2 linked regions of the Pelodiscus sinensis genome follow. The protein of the gene in region 1 interacts with the protein of each later gene in a pairwise test. Links are inferred from orthologs where the notes say so. Each region holds a gene or a part of one and is shown on either strand. Other genes may lie near its edges. The genes, in order: FLT1 and SHC2.

The links.
Region 2: the proteins of FLT1 (region 1) and SHC2 interact in a two-hybrid assay, tested with the Homo sapiens proteins (2 studies listed by BioGRID). The link is inferred for Pelodiscus sinensis from reciprocal best matches to the Homo sapiens genes FLT1 and SHC2.

The regions. Positions count from the first base shown.
Region 1 is NC_134711.1:299,714,748-299,718,645, reverse strand, and holds the start of FLT1 (vascular endothelial growth factor receptor 1), read right to left. Parts: upstream 2,213-3,898; 5' UTR 1,886-2,212; coding exon 1,819-1,885; intron 1-1,818. UniProt on the Homo sapiens protein: Tyrosine-protein kinase that acts as a cell-surface receptor for VEGFA, VEGFB and PGF, and plays an essential role in the development of embryonic vasculature, the regulation of angiogenesis, cell survival, cell migration, macrophage function, chemotaxis, and cancer cell invasion.
Region 2 is NC_134729.1:15,712,862-15,716,759, forward strand, and holds the start of SHC2 (SHC-transforming protein 2), read right to left. Parts: upstream 2,416-3,898; 5' UTR 1,839-2,415; coding exon 1,281-1,838; intron 1-1,280. UniProt on the Homo sapiens protein: Signaling adapter that couples activated growth factor receptors to signaling pathway in neurons. Involved in the signal transduction pathways of neurotrophin-activated Trk receptors in cortical neurons.

The sequences.
Region 1 (3,898 bases):
GGACTGTTTTACTCACATGCACAAATTATTTCTATTACTGCCAGGACTTTATGAAATCAGCACAGCCTTTATAACTGTACTGGGCATCAGCTATTCAGGCAGGATTTAATAGAAACCAGAAGGTAGAATAGTTTGCCGGAAAATGTAACACTTAACTGGCTCTGTAATCTTCCTTACAAATAATTTATAGCACATCATGCAACAGAATAATTTGATTACGCTCATGTAAAAATATTTGCTACTTACTTAGAAACTCTGATTCAACCTGCCCCTTAGCATAGTCATCACATTGAACAAAATGTAGTTGTCTCTCTGAGGCTAATCTCAATTAGCAATTTTCCTCTGTTGCAGACTTTACATTTGCTTTCCATTATGTGGCAAATCCATACCTGGCTTCAGTATGGTTACACCAGGTCTATATTTGGCCCTGTTTCCACATGCATTTTAGTATTTTCTCACACTTGAACAAGAGCTCTCCTTCTGCCTGGTTCAACTCCCGTGAATCTTCAAACAGCTTTACCTCTCATCTGGAAAGCTCTGTTCCAGCACCAAGAAAAGCAAGCATGCCACTGCAAAAATCCATAACCTTGTGCGCCCCAGCAAATTAGAACTTCGCCCTGCTGGCCCGACTGGTTTGAATGCTCCGAACTGTACCATCAAAACAGACCATGCACATTGCTTAACCAGACAAACCCAGGCTCCAATACTTTTACCGGATCCAGGGAATATGGGCCACAGGTCTCTACATTCTGTTGAGGAAATGGAAACCAAGCGACGTCCTTGCTAAAATACCTGGTCCCTGATACATCCCGGCACACAAGCCCTGGTAACATCCACACATGGACCGGGAGCCACCATGCTATGGCCAATTTTTTTTTCACCTAGATCCGCAATATTTTACTCTCTCTAGAGACAAAGTATAGCTTGAATGAGATAAATCTGTGTCCCGAGCTCTGCTTTGATAGATCTCTGTCCTGGCGGTGCTATTTACCACGCATACTTCAGGATCTGGATCTTAGCAGTGGGATCGGGGCTGGCGCTCTTCTTTCTGGTAGAATTTAAGGCTTTGAGATTTAAAACCCAGCCGCATCTAGGTGCGCACAGGGCTGGATTTTCGGGGTCGCTAATAGTTGCTACATTTTTTCCCCCTTTAAAAATAGGATTTTGCGGAAATAGGATTAAAATGGTCACGACTGAAGTACTCATTGTGCCTCCCACACTGGTCAGATTGATGTTGGACCAGGATGTATCAGAGTCCAGATTGCTCCAGGGAAGTGCGACTACCGCGAGTGTCTGTTTCGATCGTACAATTTACATCCAGTTTTTCCAACATCTTGCGGGAGCCCCGGGCTGAAACCGGGCCCGGGATGCTGCCTGTAGCAAGGAGGGAACCGCTAGCCTTGCTCTTTACATTTCGATGCTACAAGTTGTGGGTTTGGAGCCACAGCGCGGCAGGATCCAGCTTCTCCCCAGCGTTTCACAATGTCTGCCCAGGAGAGTTAGACGGGGCAGCTCCGAGGGGGACCACGGGAACCTGCTTACAGGATAATAGGGGCAGCGCCCCGTTTGGGAGCAAAGCAGCCTCCAGCTGGGAACAGGGGGAGGCAGCGGGGGCCCTGTGGGGAGAGGAGAAATGCCGTCCGGGTGGGACCCCAGCTCCCGTCCCCCTGCGGGTCAGACTCCCCCAGGCACTGCCCGGGATTTGGAGGTGTCTCTCTGGGGCGCAGAGCCTCGCGCAGCCGGCTGTCCCATGGATCATTTAACTTCGACCGTCCTCCTCCCTTCATCCTTCCCCCCGCAGGGGAACGGGCCACTCACCTGCGAAAAGGAGAGCGGGTGCCAGCAGCCCGCACAGCATGGCCCCTGCGAGCGCCCGGCTGCCCATGGTCCTGCCCGGGAGGTGCGCGCAGGGTGGAGAGCTTTGCCCGAGCCTGCTCGGAGAGAGGACGCGGCTCGAGGACACCCAGCAGAGGGGCTGCTGCTCCGGCAGCCGGCCCGGACTCGCTTTCCCCACGGGGGATAAGCTAGTTGGGCAGCAGGTCCCGGGGAGAGATCACCATCCAGCAGCCCCTAGCCCCGGGCAGCGCTGCGCTCCGCTCCGTAAGGGCGCTTCCAGCTGCGCGCTTAAACTCCCGTGGACATCCCTTCGCAGGGAGCTGCCCGCCGCCCGGCTGATTTATAACCTCCACATCCTCCCGGCGGATCACGCCCTCCTCTCTGCGTCACCGGGTCCCCCTCCCCTCCGGAGCCCCCGGCCCCTCCGGCCCCCTGCCGTGCCCTGCTGCCTGCGCAGGAGTGCGGCTGGAGCCAGCGCCCACTTCCCGGCCCCTCCGTGCCCACGCTGCGCTGCCCCCCAGCCCGCCGCCCCCCGTCACTCCCACAGCGCTGCAGTCCCATCGCACCGCGTCCTCCGCCTGCGCTCCCGGCCCCAGCGAGGCTGGGATACACGTGTGTCCTAGTGCTAGTGCATCTGCCCTGCCCTGGCTCTGTTACCCCCCCCCCCCCCCCATCAGCCTGAGTCCGGCTGGGCAGCGCCTCTCCATCGCCGCCAGCCCCACAGCGCGGGGCCCGGCTCCCCCTGCCAGCGCCTCCCCTGGGCACCGGGGGACGGGAGCCGCTGGCTGCAGGCAGATCGCGGGCCCTGCATTGCCTCGGGACCTTCCCGCTAGCGGCTCCCGGGCGGCCCCGGTAAAGTACCGCGGGCTGAGCGCAGCGCGGACGTCCACCTCTGGGCAGTGGCTTCACGCCCTGCAGCTCAGCAAGCGGGGCGCTCGGTGCCGAGCGCTTCTCCCCGCGGGGCTCGCCGAGCTGGGGCGGCCTCCGCACGGCTGCTCACACTGGAGATGCTCCGGGCGACCGGCCCGCTCTCCTTGGGTTGCTCTTTGCTGGCTCCGGGAAAGCCGCAGGGTCTGCCTGCCCGGCGAGGAGCGCAGTGCTCTTGTCACTGGCAGGAACGCCACCGTATTAAGTTCCCTCTCGGCCTCCGCGGGGCGGGTGGGTGCTAAGGACCCCCAGGTCACAGCACGAGCAATCGGAGGCACCAGACCTGAGGCACCTCGTCCAAAGTCACGGGCAGCTCGTGACAATGCCTGCATCCCCTTGGCCCAAGAAGTAAGCCCCTGGTTTCAAATGGGTAGTTTTATCTTTCAACTTTGAAAGTAGTAGAGCAGAGTATCTGTGTGAACTCCCGAAACAGGACTGTGATTTGATCCTGTACTTTCAATACTGTGACCAGAAATAAAAATATGTCTCTATAGAAGCTTCCACCCATGAACCACTGGAAAGGCTGGCTGCTTTTCCAGTCAGAAATTACTCCTGATACTACTGCTCCCAGGAATAGAGAGGGAAGAGCAGCAGCAGGAGACCCAGAAGGAAATTCGTACACTAAGTACCCTGAGGCCTCTCAACACAGACCACAGAAGCAGGGCAGGATAGGTTCCTCCTGGTAGGGGACCTCCAGGAAGAGACAGAGAGGAGAAACAGAAGCAGGATCAGAAGAATGCACCTTCGGAGCTCATTATATCTTCAAAAGTGGTCAGAAGGAGCCAGAAAAGGGGAGGAGGAAAAGGGGGTTGGATGCTGATGATGAAGGATTGAAATTATCCTGACAGGGAGATGAAAAGAACTAGACAATAGACACTTTTAGGGCTAAACTGCAGCTTTTTTTTTTCAATCCTTTTGTCAGAAGAGGCTTTTCTGACATTTGGCTTGTCTAGACTGGGCCAAATGTTAGGAAAAAACCCTCTTTCGGAAGCCCCCTTATTCCTAGTAGAACAAGGAATACAGGGACTTGCTAAAGAGCGCATTTGCTTTTCCGGAAAAAAAACAGAAGAGCAAATGCATCCCTAGATGCAGAAGAGTTTTCCAGGGATATCTTGGGTATCCTGGAAAACCTCTT
Region 2 (3,898 bases), on another chromosome or scaffold:
GATTCTGCCCGCGGCGGGGTCAGCGGTCACACCCGGGCGCGCGAGGGGGAGATGGCTCCCGCCTCGGCCAGCCCCGCCGGGCCTCTTTCGCCCACGGGCCGGGCAGGCTCCCCCTGGCTCCCAGCACCCCGGGCCCTGAAATCAGAGTCGTCGTGTCAGGACCCAGCCGCAGGCCCAGTGGGACACGCACCCCCGGCCCCTCAAGCCACACGCAGGCCTCAGTGTTAAGACCTGCAGTCCCAGGGCGTGGGGGGTCTCACTGGTGTCACCGCCCCACAGTGCTTCCTGGGGCGGGTGGGGGGGCAGAAATGATACAAGGCAGAGCCCTTTGGAAACCAAAGCTCAAACCAGCCCATCACCATGGTAGCTGAACCCCTCCCCACCTCCGAGGGAGTTCTCACAATCCCCTGGAAGGCGGGGCTATTACCCCCTCCCCTCCCCACCACGTACAGCCAGGGAAACTGAGGCAAAGCTAAACTAAGCGACTCACCCCTGGAGTCTGTAGCGGAGCAGGGAAACGAACCCAGCTCCCCAAGTCCCCTGGGCCCTCGTCCCTCAGCCAAGCCGCCCACACAACTTTGGAGACACTTGAAGGCAGACTCTGCCCTGACCAGCAGCTCGGCCGAAGTCAACGCTGTGGTGTCAAGCCAGCCTGAAGGAGAACAGGAGCCCGGGGGACCGTGGCTGATGCTGGCCTGGGAGTCGGGGAGCTGGGCTCTGCTCCTGGCTTCACCCCAGTTCCACTGTGCAACCCTCCCTGCTTTGTGCCTCAGTTTCTCCATTCCTGGCTCCGGGGAGGCGTTAATACCCCACCCCCCAATTCTAGGACTCAGTTCATCAAGTTGTGCCTGGAGACCCCTGCCCAGCGAAGGACGAGGGCTCAGTGCTGCGGGTTTTAAACCAGGGCCAATTGGCCGGCCGGGGCCAGGTTTCCCCCAAAGGGCTCAGCCCGTAGATAAGTCCCAGCTGACGGGGCGGAGCGGCGGCCGCCTTTGGCGATGCAACACCAACCCCTCCCCAGGCCGGGTGACAGCTGGGCTGTGGGGCCTTGAACAAAGAGAACTTGAAGGAGCGAGACCCTCGCGACTCTGGGGATCAAGCAGGGGAAGCCCCCAAACCTCCCTCCCCCCATGGCCGGGGGCACCTGGCCCCTTCCCAGCTGCCAGCTCCTAGCGAGAGGCGCCCGGGCAGCGCAGCCCCCGTTCAGCGCCCGCTGGCTCAGCGCGGGAGCCAGAGCCAGGTGGGCCCGAGGGGCGGGGAGGCTGGAGAAACAGGCTTACCCTGACGATGTAGGAGACCCCCGGTCCCAGGACCCGCTCGTCCGGATGGAGCCAGCCTTGCGCCGGCTTGTTGATGAAGCTGCCTTTCCGGTTCCATTCCTCGCCGGCCAGCTTGACCCCCTCGACCCGAGCCGCCTTCCTGCCGCCCCCGCCTCGGAACCGGCTCATCACCTGCAGGGAGCAGGGAGAGTGGCAGACCGGCTCGCAGGCGCTCAGGACAGCGGCCAGGCCGGAGGAGGGCCCCCCAGCCTCTCCGGGGCCCCCCGGCTTGGCCGGGGCCGACAGGTCCTTGCTGGCGCTGGAGGGGCTGCGGCTCAGGAAGCCGGAGGGGCTGGAGAACTTCCACTGGGGGATCCTGGGGATGAGCATGCAGAAGGTGGTCCCGGGCTCCTGCTCCTCCGGCAAGCGGGCGTCGCCCAGCGGCGGGCAAGGCTGTGCCAGGGCGGCAGGCGCCGAGGGGGCCGGGGCGGCGGCCGCCACCTGGCTGCTCATGGCTGGGTCCTCCGAGGGGGTCACTGAGCCATTGCGAAAGCGGCCATACTTGGGCTCCGGGAGCATGCCCTGCCGCTGCCTGCCTGGCTAAGTGCTTTTAGAGTGCCGGCCGGGCGTGCTCTGCGCCGCGCCCGCTCGCTGGCCTGCCCCTCCGGCCCCCACCCCCCGCCTCCCGGGGGAGGCTCCGCTCACACAATGATGTCATGATGCTATTGCTCAGCAGCAGTGCTGCCGCAGGCCTGGCCGGCTCGGCTCCCCCCGCCGCACACGGCATCTGTCAGCACTGGACAGAGGCAGAGCAGTCGGCCAACAGGCCGAGGGAGGAGTCCCTGTCGCACGCAGCCTCTGGGGGTGGCTCTGCCCGCTCGGCAGGTCCTGGGGTAACGGGCTTCGTCTTCCAGCTTCCCCTCCCACCCAGGGACCCTGCCAGGGCTGGGGCTCGCCAGCCACCGGCACTAGCAAGCTAGCCTGATGGCCTTCCCCTGCACCCCCTTGTCTCTGCCAAGCAACGGGACCCCCCGGAGCCCGCAGGAGGGGGAAGGAACGGGGAGCCCACCCCCAGGGATTATAGAGCCGCTTCATGAAACCCGACGGACTGTTCCAATCAGCTAGTCCGACCTCCTGCAGGTCGCTCGCCAGAGACGGTCACCTGGCGCTTCGTGCAGGAGCCCAGCCGTTTGTGGATGAGCTCGAGAGAATGTTACCAAGCCGTGGGGACCTGGGAGAGGGCCCCCCCCCAACCAGCCAGGGACCTGGGAGAGGGCCCCCCCCCCAACCAGCCAGGGACCTGGGAGAGGGGCTCCCCCCAACCAGCCAGGGACCTGGGAGAGGGCCCCCCCCCCCAACCAGCCAGGGACCTGGGAGAGGGCCCCCCCCCAACCAGCCAGGGACCTGGGAGAGGGCCCCCCCCCCAACCAGCCAGGGACCTGGGAGAGGGGCCCCCCCCAACCAGCCAGGGACCGGACAGGCACTAGTTCTCCAGCCAGTAGGGAAGGGACTAGAGAATGAATCAGCCACTGACGGCATTTTGCAGCAATTGACGAGATAATGTCAGGACAGCTGTGGGTCAGATTCTGCCCCCAGTTACATCCCGTGCAACCGGCTCACTGTGGGCCCCTTCGCCTGCTCAGCGGCTCACCCACCTGGAGGAGCTGCCACGAACGGCTTGGGCCTTGCCTGGGCTTTTTCTGTTAAGTGTCTGGGATGGACCCCGACCTCTGTGGGGAACGAGCCTCTTGCTGGGGCCCACGGGTGCCACCCAGCACCGTCAGGGGGCACCGCTAGAGAATTCGGCCCCACGTGTCTCCTGGGAGATGGCAGTTCCCCACGGCAGCCTCCCGTCGCCGGCTGCCCACACACCCACCCGAGCGACACCGTCGCAGGGTCTAGCCACAGCCACAGGGGCTCCCTCGCCCGCCCAGCCACGGACGTGACACGCGCCAGCACGGGGATGTCAGTAGCGCTTAGCAAGCCAATCGCTGGCATGTCCATCGACCAGTCGATAAGGGGATTCGCCACAGCGCTGCTTCTCCGCTGCACTAAACCGCCAGGCTCTTACGCTGGTTACAAAGCAGAGCCGCAGCATCGGGGACCCAGCCTGAGCCAGGACTGCTCAGCCCCACTCGCCCCCTTTCCCCTGCTACCCCCCACAGAGACAGTGCTGGGGGGAGCCACTTTTTCAGCAAGCTCCCCCCAGCACCGGCTCCTGCTCCCCCCTTGCTGCCTCTGATAGAAGAGACGGCAACTAGTCGAGTCACTAGCATGGTTCTGGGCCAAATCCGACGGGCTCTGCACTAGAGGACAAAGGGCCACGCGCTCACCAGCGCCTCCCTCTGGCCAGGCAGGGAACCAGCTCCCTGCATCAGAGCGCCCTCTGCTGGTCAGGATCCCAGTCTCTGGCACAGGTCTGCTGCCGTTCAGCCCCTTGGCCCTTCCCTCCTAGTACTGGCCTAGGTCAGTGCCCCTGCTCTCTGGGTCCTCCCCTCCCTCAGGACCCCCAATTCCCCCACACCCACCTTGCCTCAGTGACCCACTGCCAGGCATCATCACACCCCTGCCTCAGGGGAACTGCAGCCTGAAACAGCCACTCATCATAGGTAAGGGCGGGTGGACCTGCTGCCACCTAG